Notamacropus eugenii: one gene and its partners. The protein of the gene in region 2 interacts with the protein of the main gene of each other region in a biochemical or structural test. Links are inferred from orthologs where the notes say so. Each region holds a gene or a part of one and is shown on either strand. Other genes may lie near its edges.

Evidence for each region.
Region 1: the proteins of ACVR2A (region 2) and BMP2 form a complex in vitro, tested with the Homo sapiens proteins (3 studies listed by BioGRID and IntAct, with this or other methods). The link is inferred for Notamacropus eugenii from reciprocal best matches to the Homo sapiens genes ACVR2A and BMP2.
Region 3: the proteins of ACVR2A (region 2) and SYNJ2BP form a complex in vitro, tested with the Homo sapiens proteins (2 studies listed by BioGRID and IntAct, with this or other methods). The link is inferred for Notamacropus eugenii from reciprocal best matches to the Homo sapiens genes ACVR2A and SYNJ2BP.
Region 4: the proteins of ACVR2A (region 2) and ERBIN interact in a test that uses a peptide from one of them, tested with the Homo sapiens proteins (2 studies listed by BioGRID and IntAct). The link is inferred for Notamacropus eugenii from reciprocal best matches to the Homo sapiens genes ACVR2A and ERBIN.

The regions. Positions count from the first base shown.
Region 1 is NC_092872.1:578,456,810-578,464,460, reverse strand, and holds the start of BMP2 (bone morphogenetic protein 2), read right to left. Parts: upstream 3,011-7,651; 5' UTR 2,883-3,010; intron 1-2,882. UniProt on the Homo sapiens protein: Growth factor of the TGF-beta superfamily that plays essential roles in many developmental processes, including cardiogenesis, neurogenesis, and osteogenesis. Induces cartilage and bone formation.
Region 2 is NC_092876.1:283,052,139-283,059,796, reverse strand, and holds the start of ACVR2A (activin receptor type-2A), read left to right. Parts: upstream 1-4,657; 5' UTR 4,658-5,336; coding exon 5,337-5,391; intron 5,392-7,177; exon of another isoform or gene 7,178-7,196; intron 7,197-7,658. UniProt on the Homo sapiens protein: On ligand binding, forms a receptor complex consisting of two type II and two type I transmembrane serine/threonine kinases.
Region 3 is NC_092872.1:297,624,768-297,632,753, reverse strand, and holds the start of SYNJ2BP (synaptojanin-2-binding protein), read left to right. Parts: upstream 1-4,974; 5' UTR 4,975-5,039; coding exon 5,040-5,103; intron 5,104-7,986. UniProt on the Homo sapiens protein: Regulates endocytosis of activin type 2 receptor kinases through the Ral/RALBP1-dependent pathway and may be involved in suppression of activin-induced signal transduction.
Region 4 is NC_092875.1:320,993,696-321,001,253, reverse strand, and holds the start of ERBIN (erbin), read right to left. Parts: upstream 3,004-7,558; 5' UTR 2,865-3,003; intron 1-2,864. UniProt on the Homo sapiens protein: Acts as an adapter for the receptor ERBB2, in epithelia. By binding the unphosphorylated 'Tyr-1248' of receptor ERBB2, it may contribute to stabilize this unphosphorylated state.

The DNA of each region.
Region 1 (7,651 bases), on a different chromosome or scaffold from region 2:
CAAGTTTAGTAAGAGTGGTATACCTGACACTTTTGCAGGAGGCAGACCTCTTTGTCCAAGATGGCATAGACATAGGAAGAGTGAAGGCCTAGCATACACATTCCCTCTCATAAAAGAAGTCTTAAGAATTCCCAAACAGAAGGATCTGAGAATACATATTCCATAACAAATGACGTATCAATTACTTGCTGTGTTCAATTCATTATGCTAAATGATATAGATACAAATATAAAAATGAAATAAGGAGATTACATTCTTCTGAGGAGAAATGCTATATATATACAATTAAGTAAAATATAACGTGACAATGGACAGGTGAAAGGGGGCAAAGTTGAGATTATAAAATAAATGTTTGAGGGTGAAACCATGAAAAATAGTTGAAGAAACAGGGAATATTTAGCCTGGAGAACGGAGAATTAATAGAAAGCTTTCTTCAAATATTTAAAAGCCTAGAATGTATAATCCTCTTGAGGAAAAGGATTGCCTTATTTATATTTTTCTCTATTGTAACACTTTCCAAAGTATATTTCATGTACCCAGATCTGTGATTACAATAGTCTCTTATATGGATGTAGCACGACAACTCTCTTATATGACCTTTGTCCGCTTCTTCTTGTAAGTTTACTACAAGAAGTCTATCTAATGGTATGGAGGGCCTTCTTTGTTTTCCCTTGACATCACAAGCCTATCAGTGGAGCCCTATGGCTATCTAATGATCATGTGTCACTCTTACCATTGACCTATCTTCTTTTCTCCTTCACCTAAAAATTTTTCTTTAAAATATGGTTTACTTTACCAGTGCTTCAGAGTATGGAAAACTATGTTACACATAGTAACAACTTAATATTTGTTGAATAAAGGCATGCACAGATGTAGAAGAGTTGCAGCATTTAAACTGTGTAAATCCAGAGGATGGCACTAGGACTAATAAAGTACAGAGAGATAGATTTTGGCATAGTATAAAAATATTCTAACATGTATTACTACATAGTATCAGTAGCAATAGATAGCAGGCTGTTTTATAATCTCCACATGACTGGAGGTATTTAAGGAGAGGTTGGATAGTCATCTATCATGGATGCTGAAAAGAGAATTCTTGTGCTATATGAGAAGTATGCTAGATAATGACCTATGAAACTAGGATTCCCTACATCAGGTGACTGTTATTCTGTTTTAACTATTTTCTCCTGAGTCTGGCAACAAAATACAGAATAAGTGGAGATACGGAACATTTCAATGACTCATAAACTCAATTTTTAGAATCACAGGAGTCTCAAATCCCAGGAAGAGCCTTTACAGCTAAGCTCAGACCACAGGGATACATACTGAAAAGAGACCTATCGAAAGTAATAAGTTCAAATGTTCTGGCTTCCTAAAAATATTTGCCAAAGAATGCCTTTGTCCTAGAATAACAAATTTCTCACGCAAGAAAAAAAAAAAAATTCCCTTCTTTCATGAGTTGTTCTTTGATTAGGAAATGGCTTAACTAATATTTGTGCTAGAGCTCCACCATTGTTTTGCTTAGCAAACTCACACTTACCCTGGAAGGTATCAACAAAAATTATTCATTCCCTTCCCCCATCCCCCTGTGCCTTCCATCTCCCCAACTTTTGGTGAGATCCCTTGCAAATTTCCTGGAAAAAATAATTTGCCTGTGTTCTACAGGAGGATCAAGATGAGAGAAATCCATAATCAGTGTTAAAAGATCTATCAAAAATAATTTCAACTGTTAATCAAATACGGTTATCAGGTACGATGGATATTTTAAATACTAGACTAAATACCAGGCTAAACCTTGTCCAGCCAAATGTAAAATAGGAAAGGGTTTTCTTTGGCTTCTTTCAGCTTCTTTTATGCCCTTCTCTCCCTCCCCCCCCCCCCCCCCATTCTCAGGTTTCCAATATTCCTATGTTCTTTTCTTCCCTCTCTCATCAAACTCTACTTCTAGGGTCGTAGAATCCTAAATATAATTCTGGAAAGGATTTCAGAGGGCAGATAATCCAGCTTCCTCATTTTATACACACACTCAGTTTTGCCTAAGGTCACAAAGACACAAAGAGGTAAAATTTAAACCTAAGTCCTCTGATTCCAGAATAGAAAGTAGGTAGCCTTTGACACCATACCAGGAAAATGGGTGCACGCACTACATATGGATAAAACCATCTCTGATTCAGAATTGTTTGAAGAAATAGTCTCTAAACAGATGTAAATACTCAGAAAATTGGTTAATTTTTGTTAAAGTAACATTAAAGTTTCAATCAAATTAACCGTTTGCTATCACGAAGCCAACACAATGTAGAAAACGAGTTAGCTTTTATTTGTTTGTTTTTATTTTTAACTGATCATACTGTATATTTTGTCCACATGTGGAAACAGGTTATCTCAATAAGTATACAGATACACACATACAAAACCAATAACATATCATTAGATAAATTTCTCCTAGTTCTCACAAACGTGTTTTCATCTACCACTGCTTTTTATGGTCCATAAAAAAGAAAAGATAACAATGTGTACCTTTCTAGTAGAGCTCAGCAACTGTTTTTAATCAGGCAAATATCTTCAGTTCCTGTATTACCTTATTTCTACCTTGTCACTTAGGTTCTTTTCCCTCAAGTTTGCTAATAAGTGGCCTTACTTCCCAATCAAATACCCAAACGTCTTTCAAATCTAATAACAACATTAACAAATTAACACAGAGCTAACAGTTTTACTCTCACTTTCTGCTTTCAAGATATTACCAAAATGTACAAAACAAAACATTTCAATTCATGACAAGACTGTTTTTGTCAGTTTATCTAATCCATAATGGAATACTACCATAACTTCCAACCTTCTTACTTACTTGCCTTGGAAATGATGGGAAGGGGGGATGTACTCACTCAGCAAAGGAACATTGTCAGTTTGACAAGGCCTCAGTATGATCTTCACGTGTTTCAACTCTTCCAAAAAACACAGATCAAGCCCCGATCCTCAGCCACAGGGAAGAAATATTACTTTGTGACTTACAAAAGAAACCGGCATGAATGTTGCTCTTGCAATGTGCATATTCTGAATCACCGGCTCTCTCGTCACTGCAAATTAAAAGGAAGCATGTGTACCAATGGTTTTTACTGTCCTCAGAGGAAGAAATATTACTCTCCTTGGTCACACCCACTTCCTTCAAACATAATTGACAATCAGATATCCCCTGGCAAACCAAATCAAAGTATTTTAAAAGATGAATAGGCCCCAGTCTCTCTGATGCCTAACTCTGTAGTAGTAACTTAAATATTTTAAAGAAGACTTTCCATTCCCCAGGTAGCCATCCTGTGCACTAAGGTAAGAGGAACTTTGGGATTAAGTGATGTTGTGCAACAGAGTTCAAGGAAACCTCTTTAATTCACACCCAGCTAATTAACAATTTAGGAATGATACATGAGGTTCTTGCTGAGGAAAAAGTTCAAAGTAGGTGGCATAACTTGGGGCTTTTGTGTTTCTGATATGTCATTAGGTAAAGTGTCTCATTGTTAGTTGTAATAATTTTAAGTATTTATAAATACTTACTATATAGCAAAAGCTATGCTAGGCACAGGGATTAAAATACAAGGTGTCCCAAAAGTCTTAATGCAGTTTTAAGCTTTACTTGACTTTTCCTGTTTTGTTCAGTCATTTTTCAGTCATTTCTAATTCTTCATGACCCTATTTGGGTTGTTGTTGTTTTGATTTTTTGGGGGGGGAGGGAGGGTAGAGATACTAGAGTGGTTTGCAAAACTCTAACTCATTTGACAGATGAGGAAACTGAGGCAAATGGTGTTAAGATACTTGGCCAAGGTCACACTGCTAGTAGATGTCTGAGGCCAGATTTGAACTCAGGAAGATAAGTCTTCCTGATGCCAGGTCCAACCCTATGTTCACTGTACCACCTAGCTGCTTTTATTAGGCTTTAATAAAGCTTAAAAATACGCTAAGATTTTTGGGACACCCTGTGTCCCAAAGAAGTTTACATTCTATTGAGGGTAAAATAGCATTTAGAGGAAACTTGCAAAGGGAAGGGAGTATGGTCTATAGGGCATGGACCTGACCAGGAACTGGCATGGAATTCTGGGTCCCTGGCAAGATACAGCAAATGTTCACCTCTTAGAGCTGAAAGACCTAGGGGCAGAGTCCACATTACCACTGAGGAGAAGATAGAAATGATAATCCAAGAAGAGGATACTGGGAGGTAGTAGAAGACTAGAGGTAAAGGTGAGGCCCAAGAAGAAAAGGCATGGCATGTGATCAGGAAGGGAAATAGCATACTCTGGTAGAAAGGGCACTGGTCATAGGAATCAGGAGGCCTGCGTTAGAGGCTTAACTCTTCCATTAACCAACTAGATGAACTTAACCAAATGAGTCTCTCTAGTCCTCAGTTTCTTTTTCTGTAAACTTAGGATGTTTGCTTCTTCCTGCTTGAAATACTATGACTTGGTAATTCATATTGCATTAATTCACTTACATATTTAGACATGATTTCAAAAAATCTTCAGACATTCTATAATTCAACTTATTCATTCATTCAAGCAAGAATCAGAAAGATCCTAAAGAAAGCTACTTGAAACTTGTTTGTAGCAATGTATACATCTAACCTTGATTCTAACCTCAAGTTGATTTAGTCAGATGAAAAGTATGCTACCTTTTGTGGGCCTTGACTTTTACTACTTGGTGAGGTCAAAGATGGTCACTGTAGTGACCACATAGGAATTTTTTAACTTGTCAATATGTAGGGAAAAGGTAACCAGTCAAAGATATTCATTATTCCTTCTGTATAACAACTATCGTCACAGGTGGAGGCTGCATGCTTTTATACTAACAAAAAGTAGACAAAAGTCAAGCCAAAGTAAACAGAGGGAAAGCAAAATGTTCATCAAAAGTCAACAAAGAGATAAAATAATGACTTCAGCTACTCTGTAGGCCCTATTACCTTCCATGCGATGACTGTAGGACTTTTAGATGAAATTCCCCTTTTGTTTCCAGGAAATGGCTTCATTACTTCTAAATAAGGATCTTCCCTTTTGCTTCAAATATGTCTGGTCTTACAGTGGCCAAGATGCTTTGTTTTCATTCCAGCCTAAAGAGAATCAGAAGTATGTGACAAATCCCTCATTTCTCAATAGCATTAAGAAATCTTCACAGGAACTGTTTTAATTATACTCCAGGAAACTGACATTAGGGATATGTTTTGGGAACTTGGAAGCAGTTTCCAAAACATCGATAATTCATGTTGGTCGCCTTGGTGCTCTCTAGTAACTCCTTGTATTTTCGACTGACATATTCAAGGATTCAAGATTTTCAGGAGAAGTGGTTAACTGCAAGATTTTGCCAGAGAAGGGCCATAATTTCAGAAATAGTGGCATGCTCTGTAGAGACAACATCTCATTTGTATGTGAGTATGTTTAAGGGAGTAGCTTTTAAAAATTATATATCTATATAAATACATATATAATTTTTAATATGTGTCCCTCATCAAAATTAGGGTGGTTTCCTCAGTGAGAATAATATAAAATCAACTATACTCTTCATTTTGAAAAGATTACTGAGAAGGTCCCTGCTGTTACACCTCCTCCAATGGGTACAGTGAAAAGATGGCTGAATTTTAAGTCAAAGGACTTCAGGTTAAATCAATGTTATGCCATTTTTTCTACCTGTGTAAGAACAGACAAATTACTTAACTACTGTGCATCTCACTTTCCTCATATATTAAATGAAATGGTTGACTTTGAAAGAAATAAGAATTCTGATTAATTGATTGACCAACCATGACTTCTATAAATTTACAATGGAGCGTACCTCCTGCCTCTTGATAGAGAGAGGTCAGACAATAGCTATAGAATAATACATAAATTTTTGGACATAGCCATTACAACACAAATTTGTTTTGTTTGACAGTGCTTTTGATAGAAGAGGGAGCCTTATTTTTTTTTGGCAGGGCAGGCGTTATAGAGTTACATGGAGGGGGGGATTGTAGTGTTAGTGATGCCATTAATAAAACATTTTACAATAAACAGAAAAGGGTAGTAGGAAGTTCAGAAGAGAACACAGACAAGCAGGAAAATGTCGATACTACCACATTAAGTATAATAATTAAAATAAAGAAGCTATTCATACTGGATTCATAGTTTCAAATAAAATCATCATTTTCTGATCTTTGTATATGGAAATTTTCATATTATTTTCTAGTTGACAATAATTTAATAAAATAAAAGGCTGAAACAGATTATCTCTATTTTTAAAAATCTTTTTTAAATCTATGATTTTAAATCTCTAGTTTTAAATTTATGATTCATCTTGACTTCTCATCCACTACTAATTTTTCATGTATTCGCACATAATAGGATATGTCTATACACAGAAACTAAATAAAAAAGAAAACACTTTTAATTATCAGCTTACCTACAAAGTGCACCATTAGAGTTTGAACTCCTTCTACTATGTCTTTGCATCCTAGTTAGATGCTGCCATAGCATCTTGCACATAGGAAATATCTAATAAGTGCTAATCAACTTGGATTGCATTGCATTGAATTTGATTGACCTACCTGTTACGTTGTTATTTACATATGATATCTGCCATTCTCAACCATATAAGCAACTATCAATTATCTACTTATAAACTATCCAATTGATATATCATTCATGTATAATGGGGATCTGGCCCATGCCTAGACCACCTAAGATTCTGTCATTCATTTGTAAAGCATTGGGAATCTGCTTCAGTCTGGAAGATGCAGGGATAGCCTGTCTTGGCTTACCATATGGTTTGGAGCAGATTTTCTCTTCTCCACCCTCATTGATTGCATAGCTGGAACTATCTGTGTCTTTAAAACTGCTTGACTAAGAACCATCAGGGCTTTTCATCCATTCCTCATTCTTGTCTGAGGCTGGAGTACTTCTCATGTGCTAATGGAGGAAGGATTGAGGGTCACTTCCACCCACCCCATCAAGGCCATGAGGAAGTGAGAAATGGGCTTAGAATTTTGGCCTTTCCTTATGTTCTTCTCTGTTCTAGGTACAGGGATATTTCAAATACTGGAGTTTGAGCTATAGAGTCCTAAAAGCCCAGGAATCCAGAGCACATGTTGCAGTCAGCTCAGCAGGGCTTTGGGCTTAAAGTAAGTGGGACAAATGCTATATAGGAACTGAGTTAAATTGTGAGCCGAATCTGCCTTTCTTCCCCACACAGTGAAGTGGTAAGTGGGATGGGATATGCCCCAAGATGTTAGGGGGCAAATATTTGTATGTTTGTTCTTGCTGTTTTTGAAGTAAATTTCCCTTCATAAAAGCTAATCAATTTTAAGTGGTTAAATGGACTTGGGGTGCTTTTTCAACAGGCATCTAAAAAGGGATAAAAGAGTTGGTTAGGAACTGATCCAGTGGCAAAAAAGAGAGACACCCCAACCTACATCTAGGTGCTGGAGAACCCACAGGGAATGTAAAATGTAATAGTCCTGGTCCTAAGAGAGTGAGACCAGAATCAAACCAGTGCTACACACATCTAGCACCTTATCAGCAAGGGAACCAATGGGAAGTACAATGTTTTTCCAACTCATTGGAGAGACTGAATGATGTACAGAACAGGAGAGAAGGAAGTGGAGAACTTTGGGTCCTAGAGGGGAGCCAGCAATAGATTGCAG
Region 2 (7,658 bases):
TTCTTTTTGACTGCTTGCAGTATTTTTTTCTTTGACCTGGAAGCTCTGGACTTTGTTATAATGTTCTTGAAAGTTTTCATTTTGGGGTTTTCTTTCAGGACATGACTGCTAGACTTAAAAATTTCTGTCTACTTTGTCCTATGGTTCTAAGATGTCTGTGTTGTTTTTATGATTACTTGCATGATCTTTAGACTTTTTCGTCTTTCAGACAAACCAGTGATTCTTTAATTTTCTAGCCTCAATCTGTCTTTCAGGCTAGTTGTTTTTGTTAAGCGGTATCTTTTATTTTCTTCTACTCTTTCAGTCTTTTGATTTTGTTTCTACATTTCTTCTACATCTCATGGTCCATTCTAAGTTTCAGGGTATTTGTAACTTGGTCAACATTTTGTACCTCTTTTGGTACAAGCTGATAATCCTCTGATTCTTTGTTTCATAACCAGTTTCTTTTCCATTTTTTCTCTCTGGTGTTTTCATTTCATTTGTAAAAATATTCTTAATTTTTAAAACATTGTTTAATCTTTCCTAGGAATTCTATTTGAAATTCATGCCCAAAGTTTTTATTTATTTATTTGAGACTTTGCCTGGAGATGTTTAGGAGTCATTCCTTCTGTGCTTTTCTTGAGTGTCCCTATCACCAAACTTTTTATGGTGGGATTTTCTTTTTGTTTGCCCATTCTTTCATCATTCTTTCTGACTTTGGACTTTATGTTAGAGATCTATGAACTTCAAAAGGGACCAGCTTTTGGAGCTGCTTTATTGAGGTACAGTGCTATATTAACTCTAGCAAACTTTCCATGCTCCCAGTCATCTATGGCCAGGGTAAGTCTTATCCTTATTCTCTTGATCTGATCTCTCTGAGTTACTGTATTGGGTTTGGATCTGAGTAACAGGACTGTGGGTTTGCCTCTGGAGTTTCAGTAGACTGCTGTTGGACTCAGTTACTATGAGCCTGGTTCAGTGACACCAGTAGGGTTCCCTTTGGTCTGGGATTCCTGTCCTGGGTCATTCCTTTGAACACTTTATGCTGCAGTTGGAACTTAGATTACGGATTCGTTGTGTTCAGAGCCACACAGCTATTATTTTCTTTTGAACTTGTTCCTTATTCAGTATACAGCCTAGGGCCTGAAACCAGTTCATATCTTGAAATGCTACCCCTGAGCATGGGATCCTTCCTCAGTCAGCCCTGGACCTATGAGTTGGAACTAGATAGTGAGCAATGGAGTTGCCATTTGGAACCTTTTCCCGTACCTTACATGATATAGTGGTGCCCTTATCATGGTTCAACTTTAGGTTCTTAGGTGCTGGAATGCTCCGTGTTGTATCTCATAGTAGCCAGACTCCATCCTCTTTTCTACCTTTCTTTGGTGATCACAGCTGGAAAAATTTTAACTTTTAGAAATTTTATCAGGATTAAAACTGGTATGTTTTTTAGATCTTTTTGGAGTTTTTTTGGGGGGGAGGGGAGAGCTCACTATACTTCTTCCTGTTTCTTTGCCATCTTGGTTCTACCCACTCTATTGCCATTCCATTTCTTTTTCCACAAATCTGCACTTGGAACTTCTATTTTCTCCATATTTATTTATTCCTCAAGTTCTTGTAATGTGCCTTTTTTTAACCACTTTATTGAATCTGTTCTCACAAGACTATATTGGACATATCATTGGTAGACACCCACATTCAGGAAGAGGAAGATAAACCAGTGGAACTTAATAAACCATTAAATGAAAAAGGACTGGTAGTTAGTCACTGTAACCTGGAGAAGGTCATATGAAGAGAATATCCAATAAAGGTGCTTCAGAGAACCACTGATATTTTTTGAATGTGGGAAATATTCAGAACTATTCATTAGGAAAACTATTCGGTAATCATTCAACAAGCCTTTATTAAGTACCGCTTATGTATCAGGCACTGAAGATACAAAGACAAAAAAATGTAATGTTTTCTGCCTTCAAGGAGCTTACATTCTATCAGTGAAGGTGACAGGTACATATATAAGTATGTATATATACATACATATATACACATACACACATATATAAGTATATATACATATATAAGCATATATATTATACATATGAAATAAACATAAGATATTGTGTAGGGAAGCATTAGGATCTTAGGGAGTTAGGAAAGGCTTCCTATACAAGTGAGCATGTGAAATGAAGCACTAAGGAAATTAGAAGCCTTGGAGGTAAGGAAAGAGTTCTTTTCTGCCAGGGGAAACAATGTGCAAAGTCTTGGAGACAGAATGCCAGTCTGAACTGGAGATTCTGTGATGGAAATATAAGGATGGAACAGTAATAGGTTGTGAGAAGAAGGATGGTTAGTCAGGAGAAACTAGTCAGTATGGCCACTTAGGAGGCAATAGTGAAGGCAAGATCTGATAAGGATGTCAATGAGCACCTATTAAAGTACTCACTATGTGCCAAGCACTGTGTCAAACTACAACTGCAGGTGGAACTTAGATTATGGATTTCTCTTATGTTCAGAGGCAATAGTCAGTCAATAAGCATTTATTAAGTATTTATTATGTGTGAGGTGTGGTGCTAAACTCTGGGAACACAAAGAAAGGAAAAAACATTGTTCCTATGAGCATACACTTGAATGGGGGAAACCACCTGCAAAATAACTAAGTACATATAAGATAGAGAAGTGGGAGATGGGACAGGAAAGGCCTCCAGCACATTCTGGTACTTGAGTTGACTCTCCAGCAAGGTAAGGGCAACTAAGAGGGGAGAAGGGAGAGCATTCCAAGTAGAGAGGGCAGCCAGTGCAAAGGCATGAAGTTAGGAGATGGGAGAATCATATGCAAGGAACAGGAAGCAGGCCAGTACAGGTAGATGCTAGAGTAGACAGGAATAAAAAAGAAAAAGTCAATTTGTAAAGAGTTTTAAATGCCAAAGATTTCAGTTTCTCTCCTGTATGACTGACTTTTCCAGGCTTCTACTATCATTATTCAGCTGCCTTCTCACCCTGGAACTTCCTTCCCTTAGCACTTGTGCCCTTCTCACTATGGAATATCCCTCTAGAATTCTGGCCTCCCCCCGTTGGTAAATTCTTTCCAGGTAAGCCTCCATTTAGGGAAGTGCCCCCACCCTCCTCTCTCCATGCTCTGCTTTTGACTCTCTGGATTTTGACACCCTACTCCTTTGTATTTCACCACCATCCCCCCACAGTAGGTAACTTTGACAGAGGCTGCCTCTGACCTTAGGAGGATTATTTTCGGTCAGCTGGTAGGGACAAGTTAGACTGCAAGACACTGAGAAACGAACAGGTGGAAAAAGGGGAAGGCATTTGAGTGTCAGCTCCTCTTGGTAGCAGTCCGGCAGTGAATGGGGAAGAGAAATAGAATAACTTTAAAAGGAAAGTAAGGTCAAGGGAAGGGATATTTACGATAGAGGGCAAGAAATCATTTCTTTTCACTTTTGTCTCAGCACTCCCTACTTCTAGAATAGCACCGTAAAATAAAAAGTACTGACCAGTATGGAAGGACTGTCACACAGCCAGCGAAGGGCAGACAGGATTCAAGCCTGTCAGGCAGCAGTGACAGTCACGGTGCTTCCACCAAGGATGCCAAGACCAACCAGGTGCTTAGGTAAACACTATGCACAGCAAGTAGTAAGAGCCTGAGGATAAACGAGGGGGAAAATAAGGAAAGGATAGCAGATTCAAGGTGCACGTCGGGAGGGCTTAGATTCCACTCCACCCTCCAACACTCCTGGCCTTATATAAAGGTTGTGAAATTCTACAGTGCTTAACCAGAGGGCTCCACCTTCCCCATTTCCCCCTCTAAACACACGAGAATAACGAGTCGGAGATGCCTCCCGGCCGTGGTACCTGCTGCACACCTGCTAGCGCTCAATGGTGGCTGGGTGCGCGGGAGCCAAAGGAGGTCCCTTGCACCCCGCGGGAAGGCAGGCAGATACCTGGCACAACGAAACACCCGGGACAGGCTCTCCCCCACCCCCGGAAGGGCGCCGGATGTAAGGGGGTTGCCAATGGGTCCGCCGATCTCTGGGTCCGGCGGAACCAGGCCCACCCCTCGGGGTAGGGCTTCCAGTCCCCATAATCGGCCCTAGACACCGCCCCTCGGGTCCCCAGAGCTGACGGCCGGAGTGGGGGGCAGGGGGAAGCGCTGGGCCCCATTTGCGGCATCTGGGCTGGAGAGACTTAGGAAAAGCCCAGGGGGTGCCGGAGCGCAGGGCCACTTCCCCCTCCGCAGCAACAACTGCAGCAAACGGGTCAGGGGTCGAGGGGCGCCCGCGCCTCGGTCTCGCGGGATCTCTCCGCAGACCCACGGCGTCGAGACGTCGCGGTATTTGAGTGAGAGGCGGGGGAGGGGAAGAGAGAAAGGGAGGGGAAAGAAGAGGAGGCCAGGGCAGGGGAGGCTCCCGGAGGGGAGGGGGGCGGACCGGTTCGACTCCTTCCCCCTCGTCAGTTCGACGGAGCCCCGCCCCCCGAGCTCCGCCCCGCCCCGCCCCCTCCACCGCCCCGCCCCCCCTTCGCCTCGCTTTCCGCACCCCTCCTCCGCCACCTCCCTTTCCTAACCATCTCCTCTCCTTCCCGGCCCCGGCACGCGCGCCTGCCGCGCCCGGCCGCCACCGGCCGTTCCTCGCCCGCTCCTTGCTTTCCTGCTTTGGGCCGGAACCGGAAGTTTGGGGGGCGGGGCGCCAAAGGGGAGGCCGGGGGACCGAAAAAACTCGGCCGAGCCCGGAGCCGAAGCCCTGGACACGGCCGCCGCCGCTGCCACCGCGACCAATCGCTACGACCGCCGCCGCCGCCGCCGCCGCCGCCGGCGTCGCGTCCAAAGGGTTCCCGGACTTGGGGCGTCCGGGTTGAAGGTCGGTGCGGACATCGGACTGGAGTCCACGATCGCCGGCCCGTCCGGGCGGCCGCCGCCGCCGCCTCCTCCCGCCTCTCCTCCTCCGCCTCCGCCTCCTCCTCCTCCCCCTCCTCCTCCTCCCGCCTCTCCGCCTCCTCCCCTCCGCTGGCGTTTTGTTCAGCGAGCTATGAGAGGGGAGACGAGTTGACAGTGATTTTGACAGTGATTTCAGCCTGCTGTGGTCGGGGGTGCCTTTTTGATTCTGATTTCGAATTACTCCGCACGTTTTGGGGGCGTGCGTGCGCTGCGGGGCTGGGGGTTGTTTTTCTGTGTCTGGTGTCGCCTTTTGTTGCGGCTGCTGCTGGTGTTGCCCACCGTGGAGCGCCTGGATCGGGGGAGCTCCGGCTATGCCCTATGACGGCTGACTGGACCCCGGGGGGTTGGCTCCGAGGAAGACCCAGGGCGCCGGAGAGCTCGCCAGAACTTGCCTCGGATCCCCCGGTGCCTCGGGAAAATGGGAGCCGCCGCGAAGTTGGCGTTCGCCGTCTTTCTCATCTCTTGTTCCTCAGGTAGGTCCGACTCGGGCGAGGGTGCTGGCGGGGCTGGGGACTGCCGAGCTTCTCCCCCTGCCCGGTTCGGTGGTGACCCGCCAGCCTCCAGAATTGTTTTCATCGTTCCGAGTTCGCGTGGTTTGCTGACATGAGTGAATGCTGTTTCTGTGGCCGTAGCGTCGGTGACAGCTTCTGTAGGGTTTCCATTAAGCCGCAAATACCGCAGGTGACATTTTATGTAAATGTTTGAAACCTGGGAGGGCGGATGCCAGAATCGGTGGCTTCATTGCGAGTGCAAGTCTCGGAAGGAGTGTTTTTCGATGAGTGCATCTTGCACGAACGTTGTGGTAGCCCTTAGCCAACTGCTGCTTCATTTTAGTGGCATAAGGAACATTGATCTGTAATCCATAACCTATCCTTTCAACTCAGTCTCCCATCTTCAACTTCAGTGGCCAGCGGTGTTAAAAACATAGTTGCTGTGCTGAGAGTAATTAACTGGTGCTGTATGCAGAGGATGCATTTAAGCGGTGTGTTATGGTAATGTGCTGGGGTTTGGAGCACCATTTGTGAGTGGAGATCTTGCTCACCGACCAGAAGCTTCTTGTTTTAAAACTCTTTGCTTAGAGGTATTGTTTTCTGAGTAGGAAAATTGCCTATGTAAAATAACTCATAGTCAAAAAATTGAATTGTTTAGTGAGAAGGTTTTAGGACTGATATCAGTGGTTGGAAGGATGATCTAGCTATTTTTCTATTTGAAATTTTGATTTTGAGAGAATGTTTTATGGTTGCAACCAGTGGTTGGAAAAGATGTCTAGTCTTTTATATTCGAAAATCTGTGAACGTTGTACTATAGTCTAAAGGTGTGCATTCGCATACACTATATATTGAATAGATTAAATATACTTTAAAATATACTAGATTTGTTTACCGTAACATCCAGCACTTAATTGCGTAGGTTGTAAAGTGAAAAGACTATTACATATCTGTCATTTGACAGTTGGATTTTTGTGGCCATATCTTAATCTTACTTGCCATAGGGGGTGGTAGTCATTTCTTTGTGTATCTCTCTCTCTCTCTCTCTCTCTCTCTCTCTCTCTCTCTCTCTCTCCACACACACAAACACACAGAAACACACACACACACACACACCCTTTGAATTCTATAGGATTTTGCTGAATGGTACATTTCCTTGTGGTTAATAAATGGATAAAGTCTAGTCTTGTGTCTGTAGTGGTATTGATCAGTTCCGGGTGGGCTGAATGTGCTGTGAAATGGCGATCATTGCCAGAGATTAACCAAAAGAATCATGTCTGTTTAAATGGAAGAAGGAACGTGCTTAAGGCAGGCTGACAGCTCTTTTTTGTGCATGATTTGGGAGGGAAGACGAACAATGGCATGGCTAAAAAGAATGAAGGCCTCGCTAACATTAAATCTTTTGCTCTTGCTTGCAGAGTGCTTTAATGTTGTGATTTTTATTTTCCCCAGTACTCCTATTCCACCCTCATATCCTCTGGTTGGTGTATTCCTCTTGTTCTCCTTGAGGAACCTTCTCTTGAACCCCCTTTTCAGCTCTCCTACCTTCAAGGAGGAGGAGCATGACTGCCTCTAACTGCCCAAGGAATTGTGGACCTTACTCCATTCCAAACCCACCTGAGTCACACTAATTGGTGAACAAGGTTGTTCTTGAGCAGACATAATGCACTCCTTCTGGAATAAGGAGGCTTGCTGTATAGCTCTTGCAGCTTTCTCCCCTTAGCTTGGGAGCAAGAGAAGAGAAATTGAGCAACGGTTTCCCTGTAAGATCATTTTCACTAGGCCAGCAGGTAAATAGCCATAATTCTGCTGCTGTAGAATGTTTCATTTGCAATAAAACTCATAGGAAAAAAGAATATAAGTACTGCATAGCTTAAAAAGAAATTCTAAAGATCTAGTCTTTTAGTAACATTTGAGCAGTTTTATAACTTAAAATATTAGATTTCTAAAGGACTTATTTTATCAGCTAGATGTGCTCTGAGTATATTATTGTTGCCCCTGCTGTTGATGTTTATCTTTGATATCTTTGTTATTGAAATATTTATAATTATTTTTCTTTTTAAAAACTTTTTAGTTTTTCAGATTCATCTTTCTTGGCTAGTGCATGTTCTATGAGTATTTTTTTTTTTAAATAATGAGCAAAAGAGAAGAAAACTTATTCTACATTAGATTTTCTGTTAGATGTTTTCTTGAGTCTCACAAACTTCCTTATTTAGTTTTTCTAAATATTTATATGTTTATACACAGATATA
Region 3 (7,986 bases), on a different chromosome or scaffold from region 2:
CATTTAATTAAAAGAAAATTAACCATGATACAAAATTAGGTAATCTGATTTCTATTTAGAGGAAGGATTAGGGAATAAGTTGAGAGGGGAAAGCAAATAGGTGCAATTCTCTGAAATTAGAAAAAAGTATCCCACTCTTCCCAAGTTGTCTATAAACAATCAAAGGAACATGGAAACAATACCTGATTGATCAGGGCAGGGCATATGGATTGCTCCAGATGTATAATTGTGAGAAAACTCCTTGCATCAGTCTTTGGATTAGACTGGATATCTGGTCAGCATGACCAAGGTCCTTAGTTAAGAGTCTCCAAGCAGCACATAGAGGTTGTCCAACGCAAGGTTAGGTTCAAAGAATGCAACAAAGCCCTCTCCAAATTCCCATGATGAATAAAGTTTTCTCACAAGACAGAAACTAGATTAGACCCACAATTGAATAGAAAGGGAATTGAGCTAGCTCCAGAACTGAGTCACAAGATGGAGTAAGTGTGGTTCACTCAATTCCCACTACCACTTGGTGTTTTAATTCCCTCAGTTCCCCCACATCATTTCCCTGTTAGGAGGGAACATTTTAATTCCTCTGGAATTGGTTGATCAGTGCAATCATTGATAAGAGTTCCTAAGTCCTTCAAAATTGTTTTTACAATGTTGTTAATTAAAATGTTAATCATTCTCCTGGTTCTGGCTCACTTAAATCTTGATGGCAACGTTCAAGTGATGCCTTCTCCCTTCACCTCTGCTTTGTTTTGTGTAAGCTTCAACTCTGTCACTTCACTTATGTGAGGTAAACCCCCTCTACCACCTTCCATTCCTTTCCTCTCTTCCCTTTCATAGCTGCTTTTAAGATTGTCAAGACAAAACAAAAATCATTCCTAGATACTTCATCTTTTTTGACTCCCTCTGTAACCCCTGTTATATATAACTCTATAACATCATGGTTCTAAGGGGATGCCTATATTATCCTCTCCCCCTCTTCATTAGAATGTAAACACTTCCTCTTTATGAAGTCTTTTCCAGCTGCTTCTTTTTTATATTTCTCTTTGATCTTGTGTTTGCAGTTCAGAATTTCTACTAAGCTTTTCATTAAAAATGCTTGGAAGTGTCCTATAAAATAGTAGTGTAACAGAAAAAAACAGCAGTAGTGTAATGCCATAGGCTTTTTAATAAAGACCCATTTTTCTTCCCCTGTAGGGTTACACTCAGTTTTTGCTAAGTAAATTATTCTTGATTGCAAGCCTATATCTTTTGCCTTTTGGAATATTAGATTCCTTGTTCTACAGTTCTTTATAGAGTAGATGGTAAACCTTGTATGATCCTGATTGAGGTTTCTTAGTACTTTAACTCTTTCTGACAACATGCCTGTTTTTTTTTTTCTTCTTTAATCTAGAAGCTCTGGATTTTGGCTAAAACTCTGGGGAGTTTTCATTTTGTGTTTTGTTTTTTTTTAAGAGGTGATTAGTAGATTCTATTTTTACTTTGCCCTCTGATTCTAAGACAGTTGGACAGTTTTCTTTCATGAGTTCTTGGAATATGATTTACAATATTTCTGTTTCTGTCTCTGCGTCTCTCTCCTTTAACCCTCCCTCTCTTTCTTGCTCATGGTTTTCAGATAGTCCAGTGATTCTTAAATTGAATCTCTGTGATCTGCTTTCTAAGTCAGTTACTTTAGCTTTCTTTTCTTTTTCAATATTTCAACTCTGTTTTAATATTTTTTGTTGCATTTCAATTAGTACAGATGCACAAAGACAGGAAATGGAATGTTGTGTATAGAAAAAAGACCAGTTTGACTAGATTACAGAGTGTGGGAGTACTGTCTAGTGAAGCTGAAAAGATCAGCTGGAGCCAAGTTGCAAAGGGCTTTCAAAGTTAAACATAACAGTTTATATTTTATCTTGGAGACAATATAGAGCCATTAGAGTTTACTGAGCAGGGGATATGATCAGATCAGAATTTGAAGAAAACCACTTTGACAGCAGTATGGAGGATGGAGAGACTTAAGGCAGGCAGACCCATTAGGAGTGTGTTGTAATAGTCTGTAGGCTTGAGCTAAGGTGTTCAGCTGTAGGAGTAGAGAGAAGAGGTCAGATATGAGAGACAGAAAGGTAGAAAGAACAAGATTTGGTAACTGGTTAGAATGTAAGGTGAAAGAGAGTGAGGAATCAAGGATAATGCCAAGGTTACAAACCTGGGAGACTGGAAGAATCCTGGTGCTTTCAAGAGAAGAGGGAAATTTGGGGTAGGGTTGGGGAGAAAGAGAATGAATTCTGATTTGGACACGTTGAATTTGGAATAAGAGTGGTAACTACTTTGGGGGGTTTTATAGCCCAGGTCTGAGATCAGTTTTGGACATGCTGAGTTTGAGATGCATAGCAGATAATTGATAGTTAAGGATTATGTCTCTCAGGAGAGATTAGGGCTTATGTTAGATTACATTAGATTATGTATATACATGTATGTATATATGTGTGTATATATGTATGTGTATATGTATGTATATGTAATATATGTATATGTATACATATACACATATATGTATGTCATTTTGTGATGGTAAGCAAAGTAGGTTTACAAAACACTTTAATAAAATACCTCACTTAAGTCTTAAAACAATCTTGTAAAGTATTTGCTACTATTATCACCACTTAATAAGAGAAAACTGAGCCTGGGAGAGGTTGTTATTGCCCAGGGTCACTACGGTGTTAAGTAGCAGAGCCAGGATTTGAAGCAGACATCCAAACCACCACTAGGTTAGAAATCAGAACACTATCCATTACGATAGGCTTCCTCTACCAGGCTAAAGGGCCAGTGTTCTGACAATCTGGCTTTTTACTAAGTTTTAAGAATCTTTGATTTCACTCCTCTGGGTAATCCCTCCAGTCATACTGAATTCAACCATAGGCTCCTTAGCAGATGGTTACATGGGCTGCTTTGGCCAAACAATTAATCAGCTGGTGGTCAATTTTCTAGGGATAAGCCTCTCTAAATTTATCTAAGCTGGTCCTAAGACAATTGACACAGGCTGTCACAGGCCCATATTTAAAGACTTTCCAGCTGAGTGTCCTGCTGGAATAGCTTTCTAGCATAATATGTTAGTCAACAAACATTATTTAAAAAAAAAAAAAAAGATACTGAATGCTGGGAAATTACCATAACCAAATTTGACTCCAAAGAGGAGATATGAGAATGTACTTTCCTCCCTCCAAGTTTTTTTTTTTTTTCCCAGGTGGAGGAACTATGGGTGTCAAAAACACTACTTATAATATCGACCGTTTCATATGTTGGTTAGTTTTCCTGAACTATTTTTTCCTTTTTTTTTTAGTTTTCAAATTTGAGTTCCACAAGCTTTTGAGTTTTAAATTTTCTTCCTCTCCCCCCCTCCCCAACACTGCATATACATTCATATTAAACATATCTTCACATTAGTCATGATGTAAAGAATTATAACCAATGGAATGGACCACAATTTCCAATTCTTTTTCACCACAAAAAGTGCTGCTATCAATATTTTTGTACAACCTTGCCATTTTTTTGATCTCTTTGGGATACAGCCCTAGAAGTAGTATTGCTGGGTCAAAGGGTAAGCATATTTTTATAGCCCTTTGGGCATAGTTCCATGGCTCCAAATTACTCTCCAAAATAGTTGGATCAGTTTATAACTCCACCAACAATGCATTAGTGTTCCAATTTCCCACATCTTCTCCAACATTTATAATTTTCCTGTTTTGTCATGTTAGCCAATCTGATAGGTGTGATGTGGTACCTAAGAGGTGTTTTGATTTGCATTTCTCCGATCAATAGTGATTCTTGTTTTGTTTTTTTTTTGTCATTAAGGATGGCTCGGGTAACAAGAGTGATGTAAAATTAAAAGATATCAACAAACAATAGCTTATAGGATTAAACATTTAATTGAAACAAATTCAGAAAACAAGCACTAAATGTTTACTATGTGAACAGCTAACATTTCTATTGAGCTTTAAGGTTTTACCTACGCTGGGGCCTGGAGTCAGGAAGATCAGAGTTTAAATATGGTCTCAGACACTAAACAGGTGTGTGACCCTGAGCGAGTCACCTAACTTCGCTTCAGTTTCCTCAACTGTAAAATGGGTATAATGGTAGCACCTACTTTCTAGTGTGGCCGTGAAGATCAAGGGATAGAATATTTGTAAAGCATCTGACACTATATTCTTATTCCCTTTTCCCTAACAAACATTTCAATCAATAAGCACTGGGGATACAAAAAAAAAAAAAAAAGCCAAAGACAGCCTCTGCCACCAAGGAGTTTACAGTCTAATGGATCATCTGGACCTCATACAACCCTGTTAAGGCATCCTTTTTTTTCTTAACATATAAGGAAACCAAGGCCCTTCACTGCAGTATTGAGTGATGTGGGAGCCTAGGGTACCCTGCCCACTGGACCAGGAATCAAGAAGACCTAAGTTCACATTTGGTCCCAGACACTAAGTAAGTGACCCTGCACCAGTAACTTAACTTTTCTTGCCTCAGTTTCCTCATATGTAAAATGGGGCTAATAAGGGTTGTTGTGAGGCTCAAATGAGATAATAACTGTAAAGTGCTTAGTACACCCTGGCACAGAGTGAGAAATAGATGAATGTTAGCTGTCCTTATTGGCATTATTAAACAACTAACAGGCTCAACCTTGGTTTCCCCGCCTATAAAATTCCCCAGTCTTATTGGGGAATCAATCCCCCAATGTGTTATTGAGGATAAAGTGAGCCACAGATGTACAGGGTCCCGTTAGCAACTGGTGCTTCTTCTCTCACTTAACAAAGAAAGCCCCTCCCAACAAAGCCACCCACAGTGCAAAGCCTAGGGAGGTGGGGGTGGGGAGGAGGAGGACAAGCCCGGGAACTACATTCCCCAGAATTCCCGGTGTTTCCCATCCGCCCCTTCCTGTCCGGGGAGGCTGATGAAACCGAAAGTGCTGCGGCTGCAGCTGGGTTTTTTTTCACCTTCAGTCCCGTGAACACGACGGGCGGGTGAATCCGGTCGGGGGAAGGAAAACCCTGGGCCCTGCGTAAAGTATGAACGGAAGAGTGGACTATCTGGTCACGGAAGAAGAGATTAATCTTTTCCGAGGACCCTCAGGTACTTGGTGGGAGCTGGGGATGGGATGGGGGAGGGGGGAAAGGGGCCGCCTGAGGTTTCCCGCCACGCCACGAGAAGTCTCCCTCAGCCCCACGCCGACCCCCAGCCTCCTCTTGGTCGGGCCGCGGGCCTCTTATCAGTATAACCCCTTCCCGCTCGTGGAGGGGGATCTGCTGGTAGCCTGGCGTCCACCCTTGGCTGAGGAAGGAGCCCCTGCCCTGGCCGCAGCCTGGCACAGCCGAGCTGCCCGTGCGTCACGGCGCCTCCGGGGAGAGGGAGGATTAAAGGTGGGAGGCGTACTGCCCTTGGCGATTCACCCGCGGCGGCCGCCCCGCCCCCCCCGCCCCCCTCCGGCCCCCTCATCGCCCCCCCGCGGCCCCCCCCATCGCCTTGGCCCTCAACTTCCAGAGCTTTTTATATTTATTTTTAAAAATCTCCGTTACCGAGGTTCTCTGGAATCTAGCATGAAAATTCATTTGCCCCCTTGTATAAATTCTTTTTTTTTTTTTTAAAGAGTCCCACTACTAATTAAGAGTGTGTAGAGCGACTGAGTCACTCAGTCGATCCCCCGCGCTTTTAATCAGGTTTGCCGTGGACCCAGGCGCTTTGAAAGCGCCCCTAGGGCAGCCCGAGCTGGTTAGGGACGAGGAAGCCGGCCGCCCAAGGTCAGCTGCTCGCGGGGCGGCGGGCCCTGCCCCTCCCCCCCCCCCCCCCGTTCCTCCCCTCTCCCCACCCCCGACCCCTCCCCTCCCCCCCCCCCCCGCAGCCCGACCACCCGCCTGCGCACGCAGCCTCGCCCTGAGTGCCGGCGTGTGGCGGCCGAGCAGTCACTGGAGCCCCCCCTAGGCCCGAGTGAGCCCGCGGTGCCGGCGGCTCTTCGGAGGAGTCTCCCAGGGGCAGGGGCGTAGAGGTGGCGCGGCGGTGCCCGGTGCCCAGTGCCTGGCCCCACACGGCTGGGCTCTTCATGTTTGCATCTGCACACGGTAGACTTGGATGTTTTTAATTAGAAAGATGGTTATGCCTGATTTTCTTAGATCTTTAGAAACCAGCAAGCTCTCCAGAAAGGTCCCGCCCCTATCTCATGAACTTCCTATTGAGGTTCAGAGTTGTATGTTCTCCTTATCCTGAAGGGATTGGTTCTCTAGCATAGTGGTCTCTTGATTTTTTTTTTTTTGAATTACACACCCCTTTCCGAAAAAAAAAAATTAAGATAGGAGTACTTTAGGACAGTGGTCTAGACTGTTTGGATTGCACAACCCTTTCAGGAAAAAAATTAAGGTATTGGTTCTCTAGGACAGTGGTCTCTTAGACTTTTTGAATTGCACACTGCTATCCATAGGAAAAAAAATCAAGCATACATTCCCAATATGTGTATATTTATTTACAAATTATATGCATGTACTGCTGTAATAAGTAATAAATAATAATATGTAATAATACAATATAATATAATATATTTTATTATATATTATGTTAATTACATTATTATATATTATAATAAGTAATAATAATAATTATGCTATCAAACTTGCATGAAAATGTAAATTTTGAAAGGGCAAGATAAAGATGAAGTAATATATGATCCCAAAGTCATTTGGGAGCCACTGGAATTTATTGAGTTGAGGGAAGTTATTGGGTAGTTGTGTGTAAGATTCAGTAAGGCGAGACCAAGTAGAAAACTATTTCAGTAATTCTGTCTAGAGGTGAAGAGTGCTTGAACTCAGGTAGTGGCTTCATTAAGAGAAATGAAGAGGTAGAAATGACAAGACTTGTTAATAAGATACGTGGAGTGAGGGAGAGTGAAGATTGGAACATAACAGGAAGATAACTTGGTGTTATCTTCTCCAGCAGTGCCTGCCCAAGCCATGAAATGATTTTAGGGACAGGGTATGGGTATGCTGGTGGGGTGGGGTGGTGGTGAGAACTTTTCAGTGGCGTTTAAGTACTTGCTGCTATAGGTACTAGGTAGTGGTTAGATGACAACTCCCCAGAAGGACCCATGCTGGGCTCAGAAGCAGGAAGATTGGATCTCATTGGGATCAGCCCTCTGATTGGTTGATCCCATACTTCTTGGAATCAGGCCACAGCCCCCACTTGGGAGACCATTACTCTGGAAGGATGGGAATTGATGTCTGGAATGAATTTACAGAATTTTCAGCAATCAGTGCCCATAGAGTGGCTAAGCAGTGGCTTCAGAAGACCAAAGGCATAGGCAAGGGAACAGGACTATTAAGAAAGGAAAAGACAGAAGGAGTGGGTGGGATTTTGATTTTTAAGGGAGAAAATTAAAGGGACCTGGGTTGGGTAATGATAATAGGGCTAGCAACATTTGCCCCAGAGGCTTTGCTGAAAGTTCATAGTTAATTTTACAGATAGCTGCAGATTACCAGCGGTGACCTGGAGTCTGTTCCAGCTTGATTTTGAGGCAGATGTCACAAACTGACTAATATTAATTTTTGAGCTGGAAAGGGACCTTAGATATCATCTTATCCAATTTGTTTGTTTTAGAGATAAGAAAGTTGAAGTCCAGGAAAATGTGACTAGCTCAAGGTCACACGGCAAGTTATTGGCATAGATGGGACAAAAAAAATCAGGGCTCCTGACTTCTGTTTGTTTGTGCTCTCTTCCTGAATCAGTTCCCAATGGATGCAGAGGGGAAGTGAGTAATCTGGGATGTGTGTGTGTGTGCATGTGTGTGTATGCATGTGTGTGTATGTGCACGTGCACGGATGAAGTGGGGCAGATTAATTCATAGATGAGAGTAGACAATGTATGGAAAACTTTTCCTTCTGTATTATAGCAAGTCACTTGCCCATTAGTGAATAATTCCTAGCTGTTTACTTGTAGGGATTTAATCCATTTAGTCACTTATTACAGCACAAT
Region 4 (7,558 bases), on a different chromosome or scaffold from region 2:
GAGCTGCAGAGGACCTTAACAGTCTTCTAGTCCAAACCCCTCCTCATTTTAAAGATGAGGAAACTGAGGACCAGAGAGTTTGGAAAATTTGCCAACAATCATACAAGTTGTAAAGTGGCAGAGCCTAAGTCCTTCTACTCCAAATACAGCACTTATTCCACCACAGTATGCTGCTTCCACCTTCATTACTAAACCCAAGACAACTAAAACCACAAAATCAAAATTTGGCTTCCACACTTTGGCATAAGCTTTTTCATGCACTCAGATGTTAAGATGACATCATCTAAAACTGCAAACTGTTCTTTATTACTTAACACTCAAATCACATAACTAGCAAGTGGAAGAAAACATTTAAATTTTCTATTTTCAACAAACCAAATAAAAATCACCAACTGTATTTCATGCACTATAAGCAAAATTTTCAGGGATGTATGTCACTGATCAAATACTGCAAAAGAGATCTAAGTATTTATTTATATACACACACATTTGACCCACTGCAGACAACTGATAACAGTATTTAGAAGAAATGTAATTTTTATAAATACATTCACACAAAACAAGCAAGAATCACAAAACGCTAAAATGTAAAGATGAAAGGAGACTTAGAAATGATCCAGTCAGGCTCCTTCATTTTTACAAGTATGGAAAAAAGTCTAGGAAAGTTAAGTGAATTGGGATTGTGTCTACTCTCTATTTCTAGGCTGTCAGAAGAAAACAGTCTCATAAATTGATCAAACTAGTATCCAACAAGCTTAATGGACCTATGGAGTTCTAAGATCTATACTTATTGAGGGAATTATGTTTTTATTAAAGAAATAAAGGAAAATAGGCAACATGACTAAGGAGCTAGTCTCAAGGTAAGACCTGTAATTCAAGGCAAGCCTTGGACACACACTTGGCTAAGTGACTTGGAAAAAATCGTCAGTGGTCCAGGAAATTCTACAGACTATAAACGCAAAATAATGGAGGTTCTGCAATGGTACACAGAGTCTCCTAACAGAAAGGGGGGGAGGGGAAGGGGAAAGAGATAAGCGACATTTATTCAAATAACACTAATAACATCTAGTTTAAAATTTTCTTGACTCAAAATCTTGAGTCTTTATTTGTGGCTCCCCTGAGAGGAGATAAACAAAAATTACATTAAAAAACGAAAACTGGTTCACAGACTTATTGCTTGATGTAACGATTGTCTTCTGTAAGTCACTAAGACAGAGAAACAAAACTTTGAAATGTACTCTTTCTTTGTAAGAGGCCTGCTGCTCTATTTAGGCTTTGTTGCTCTTATGCCAAGGAAGTGCCATATAAGGAACCTCAAGTTCAATGTCATTCATTTTGCTTAGTTTTTTTCAGATGTCCAGGAATAACCTCTTCAGCTAGCTAATAATACAGTTGTGCATTTTATATTCCTTGAGCAAGCTGGTTTGATTTAGTACTTACTTGCAGAACTAAATAGCAAGAAAATAACTACCTGGAGAAAAAAGACTCTGACAAAGGCCAACTTAACATGTAGTAGTTAAGTTTTTACTATCTGTCTTTTTGCATTTAATACAGATCAAAGCTGTTAGGAAGAAGTAATAATTTGATAGAGATAGTTTAAACTTGGACTTTCTTCTTTCCCTAAGGAAGCTACCATCTTTTTCAACTGCCACTAATTATTTGAGATCTGATAAACTAAACATCAACTGATATTATAATGGGAAATTACCTCCAGAATTTTCCTTGCACTCAAAAAGACAACTTTTTGTTCGTTAGCACCCTAAGTACTACAGACAAAAGTTTAACTATCCTTTCACACTAACAAATTCAGATATGCTGAAATACAAGAACCAACTGATAGAATCTGTGAAGTCTACTAATTGTTTTTAACACTTAGACTGAACTAGGTGGCCTCTGATATCCCTTCAGATTTTGTGACTCTTTAAATCAGTTTACAATTAATTTTTGCCATGCTTTTTAAGTTCAGCCTCCAAATTAAATTTGATCACAACACTTACTAAATAGAAATCCATTATATAATAAGTATTTGTGTCAAAACGATAATCCTCAAAAAGTCAAGAACAAATACCAGAAAGTTGTGTATAAATGTGTACGGTGGCTGTCATGCAGATAAATAGTATCAAAGTCTTATCAACATAGTTGCAGGTGTTTTTCAAAACTTACAAGTTCCTCTTTACTCAGAACAAGGAATCATATCCCTTATTTCCGTTCCTTTCTAAACTGGGCACTAACAGGAAAAATCAGATTAAGGTAATTGTCTTTTTAATAAATTTGTGAAATAAAGACTTTATCATACGGTTCTGCAAAGGGCCAAAATAAACACCCTTTCTGGAGGACAGGAAAACACAGGCTCAATCTTCCTGAAATCGCCTTCCACCCCATCGCTCCCCCAACAAGAACCAAGGAGTTTTGGGGTTTGTCACTGCGTTACACAGCCAGCAGCCTTCACCTCCCCGAGAACTTCACTTCAACGCCCTCTACTAGTTAGCAGTGTAAACAAACGTGGCGGGCAGTCCACGGCACACCACCCCACAGCGACGTCTTCCCGACGGACTGGCAAATCCAAAGTTGCTAGATTCGGTTCACTTAAAACAAAAATTTTAGGAGAATGCATTTTGGGAGCGGCCAAGTGCTTACCTACTTCGGGACCTAGGGGAGAACAAAGGAACTCTATGTCCTCAAGAGCCTAAAAAAACAACTTTGGGTTCCCCACTTCCCCTTTTCCCCCCGATAATGCCAGACCGGAGGGTGGACTGCAGAGGCAGCCCCGATATCTCACCGATCCAGGGCTGCCGGGCTTCCGATGGGAACAAGGACAGAGAGATGCAGCCCCTGCTCCCCGCCCCACGTTCGCCCCCATTTACCTCTCCAGAGTTCTCGGCCTCTTCTTCAGGCTCCCAGCGGAGACATGGTGGGGGTCCCTGGCTCCCCAAGACGCCGCTAACCCTCCATCCTCCGCGGGGTCTTTTCTCTCGGGGAAGGAGGAGGTGAATGGGGATGCCGGGCGGCCTCTCTCAAGAGGAAGAGGAGGCTGGTTTCGGCTCTGGGGGCACAAGCGGGGCGTTGCAGGCCGGTTTCCTGGTCTCAAGTTTTGACACGAGTTTCCCAGCCTCCCCAACCAGGATCCCCCGAGGAGAAGGGGAAGGCAAAAAAAAAGTTTTCTCTCGTGACACCGCCCGGAATTACTGCGTGAAACTCACTTCCTGCCCGGGCGGAGAAGCTGAATCCAGGTCCACTCAGGGGAACCCGGAAAACAGGCTCGACCTAAGTGGGGAGCAGGAGGCAGGCGGCAGGGGGGAGGGGTGTCTGTCTGTCAGCCCCGCTGCCGCCGAGGACCGTCCGAGCTCCGGCTGCAGAGATGGACGATCCAAAGGCAATCCTGCAAAGCTACCCGTGCGCTCGCTGGGCTCCCAGGCGGGCGGGAGCCGACGACGCGCCCCCTCCAGACCCCTCCCAGGCCCGGCGAGCGAGGCTGCACTGCGCCCCTTCCTCCTGCTGCCGCCGCCGCCGCGGCCCTCGCTAGGCCACCTCCTGCAGCCGCCGCTGCCGCCGGGTTATTGTCTCGATCGCGCCCGCCGCGCCCTTCGCCCGCGCTGCCGCGGCCGCCCCCGGGGTCCCGAGTCCAGGGAGAAGAGGGAGGGGGCAGGCACGAGGGCCGGCCCCCGGCCCCGGCCGTCAGTCCTCCCGGCTCGGGTTCTCCGTCTCCTCCTCCTCTCCACCCCCCTGCCCTCGCCTAGAGCTTGCGGTTTCCCGCCCGTGCCCCACTCCCGGAGCCCCGGACTGCTGTGGCGGAGGAGGAGGCTCCGCGACCGCGGGCGGGGTGGGAGGGAGCGACTCGGGCGACGACGCCGAGTTTAACACCGGAGCCGAAGCTGCCGCGGCAGCCCCGCCACATTCACTAGACACCGACCGGAGGGGAGGGGAAGTCGGCGGAGGAGGGGGGAGGGACCGGGCTGGGGCTGAAGCAGGAGGGGAGCGGGGCCTCTCCGGCTGAGGCTGGCGGGGACCTGGCGGCAACAGCGCCCCCCAACCAGGACGAACGAGAAGACACTGCGCACAGCGAACTCGAGCAGCGGAGGGGGAGGGGAAGGGGGCGGGTGCCAGCGGCCTCCAGCGGACTCTCACCCCAACTGCCAGCCACAACGGAGCGGCCGGAGGCCGGCGTGACGACCCAGTGGCTCATCTCGGCCTCTGGGGAGAGGAAAGGAATGAAAGAAGCCTCCCTCGGGGAAGGAGGGGGGGTGAGGGAGGGGCCGCCCGCGGCCGGTTCGAGGGAGAAGTGTGCTGAGGGAGAGCCGCGAAATGGCAACAGACCAGCGTGCGCCTCCGCTGGGCCCTCCGGAGCCTCGCGGCGATCCTCGCAAGGATAACTTTTTTTTTGCATAAACCCAGCTCCCCTCGGAGGGCTCCTCCAGGCCCCCAGTTGCAACGAGCATCCAAAGAGCCAAGTAGTGAAAGGGCCCCGGGGGCGCCCGACCGGCTCCTCTGGGAGCCGAGCCAAGTGCTTGTATTTTCCCCGGGTCTTCTCCTGGGCCGCAAGCTGCAGGCCCCGGGTCTCGACCACGCGCCCCGCCGGCCCTCCAGCCTCGAGTGGTGGAGGCGTGCATCTGCAAGGTGTGAAGGGGCAGGGAAGGCTTCCTTCCAGCCGGCAGTATTCCTTTCAGCTGGAGCAGTCCTGACTGCCTGCCGTGAATGCCACACTCGGGCTGCACGGAAGCAGCAGCTCTGGGTCCTTTCCGGAGCGGGCCCCGCTTTGCTGCTCGGCTGCCCCGAGAGCAGTTCAGCGGAGGCGCCTCCGGGCCTCCGGCTCCGACCGCCCGCCAGACCAGACCGAAGCCGGGATGGGGGAAGGCGGCTCCAAAACTGCTTTTGTTGTTACCCTGTGCCTTGGTGAGAAGGAGGATTTGGCGCACTGCAAACAGCTGCTTTCTGTGCTGCAGCTGCTGGATTATGTCTCAGCTGTATGCAGTCACACAAAACATCTGCATTTATTATTAAGGGAGATACTAAAGCATTCAGTGTCATTGCATCTGGAAAAAGCGAGAAAGCCTCCACCGTAGCAGTGGATTGTGTAGCTTCTTGCATTGTTTGCCTCTTGCTTTTGATATGTTAACAGACTAAGAGATGATCTTGTTTCACTACTGAAAAGGAACAGAAAAAGGATATATGGGGCACATTTTATCCCCAGCCTTCAACGAAGCTGCCTCCTTTCTATCCTCTAATTTCCGGGCCCCTGAAGTCACTTGTCTAACCAAACGTTGCATATGACAGGGAATTATTTATTAAAGAGTATGAATAAAAAGTCCTATACACTGTATTATCGAATAGATGGCTTTAAACTTTTATCCAGAAAGTACACATAAATTGTCCCCAACAGCTTATTTACCAAAGTGAATGTTTACGATATAAAAACACCCTCGATTAAATTTATCTTCTATGTGTCCAAAACATTAGAGTGGGGGCCGTTATAATTTCTGGAAAACTACCAGGATTAACAGATTATTTCACTGATCTAGAACTGATTTTAGAGGGGTTTAAAGAAAAACTTGGTAAATCTCTGGTCCCTGGGGAGTGTTTCTTTTTTTTAAGGGTTACAACTTAAAAAAAAAAGCTTTACTACTAAATGGCATCTTAGATGTCAACTTATCCAACTTCCTCATTATACAGATGGGGAAACCGAGACCTGAGAGGATTTGCTCAATTTCAGATAATACATTTTCAGGACCAGAAAAATCCCTGGTCCCCTCATTGCAAATCCAGCCTTTCCCCCCACAATATACTTTATCATTTAAGGTCACATAGGGAACATCGACCTTGCAAGTCAGAGATCCAGGTTTTACATGTTTCTCTGGCATTTACTATCCATGTGACCATGGACAAGTCCTGAATTTCAGCTTCTGCTTCTATAAAATGGAGATAGTAACATTTGCACTACTTGCTTTATAAGGGATATTAAGAAAAACATTTTGAAAGCTGTTACATTAATGTGAATTATTATAGCATACCAGGAACTAGAACTGGTATCTCTTTTTAAATTTATTTTTATTTCATTAAATGTCTTCCAGTTACATGTAAAAAAGATTTAACAGTTTTTTTAATTTTAAGTTCCAAATTCTCACTCTTCCTCCTAATCCTTCCCCCTCCTTGAGAAAGCAAGCAATTTAATTTTGATTATACGTGATTATAGGTTATTCAAAACATATTTCCATATGAGGGGCAGCTAGATGGTTCTCTAGTGCAGGAGTCAAATCTCACCTTAGAGGCTTGACACTCACTAGCTGTGTGACCTTGGGCAAGTCACTTAACCCCCAATTGCTTCATCCTGGGTCATCTCCAGTCATCCTGATGAATAACTGGTCACTGGATTCATATGGCTCTGGAGCAGAAATGAGGCTGGTGACCTGCACAGCCCTCCCTCACTCAAAAAAAAAAAAGTCAAGTGCAAGTCATGTCATTATTTCTCTGATGGCATGGTCTTCTTCTACAATGAAGGATGAATACACATTTTCATATGAGCCATGTTGCAAAAAGGAAACACAAACAAAATTTAAAAAAAATTAAAATAGTAAAAAGAATTGTGCTTCAATCTACATCCAGAGTACATTGTCTCTCTGGGGGTGGATAGTGCTTTTCATCATGGGTCCTTTGCTGTTTGATCATTATCTTGATCAGTATAAGTTGTCTTTCACTGTTGATCCTCCTTATAGTATTGCTGTTACTGTGTAAATCTTCTGGTTCTGCTTACTTCACTTTGCATGAGTTAAGAGCTTCGAAGGTTTTTCTGAAACCATCCTGCTCATTATTTCCAATAGCACAGTAGTATTCCACCATCTGTATCTTTTTTTAAAGAGAAGCTTTCAAGTCCAGGAAGCAGCTGATGCATACCATTAACCCAAGGCTAGGTTCCCAAGTATATCATGATTATGTCAAGAGACATAATATAAAGGCTGCATAATAATATTTATGAAGTGCTTTAAGGTTTGCAAAAGGCATTCCTCTCTTCACCCCTACAAAGTAGTGTAAATATTATCCCCTCTTTACATATGGGAAAACAAATTCAGATAAAATGGCATACCCAAAATCATGCATGTTTGAGACCCAAGATTTGAACCTAAAACTGTCCTGATTCTCCAAGTCCACCTTGATGGTTAAAATATTTCCTGGGATGGTAAATATTTACTTAATTAAGCTTTAGCTCATCCTGGATCTCTAAAGGCTGATGAAATTCTGACCCATACTTAATAATTGTGATTAGAATTATAATGGTTCATATGGGATCCTGTTCTACTCTACATCATCCCCATTTCAAAGGCTTTAATCTTTCCAAAGGAGAACAACCTGATTTAGAATCTCTAAACTTTGGATTAAGTAGACCTAAAAATCTCATTTATCTTACACCCAGTAGTACCACCTTTCAGAATGTTCCTGTGGCTGCACCTATGGAAAGTATGAGGGTCCTGTGGTTGCAATTCTTGAAACAAGTCTAGAGAGGAAAATCAACATGTTCAAGAACTCAGAAGCCCATAAGTGGGAAGACTGGAACTTAAAAACCAAGTAT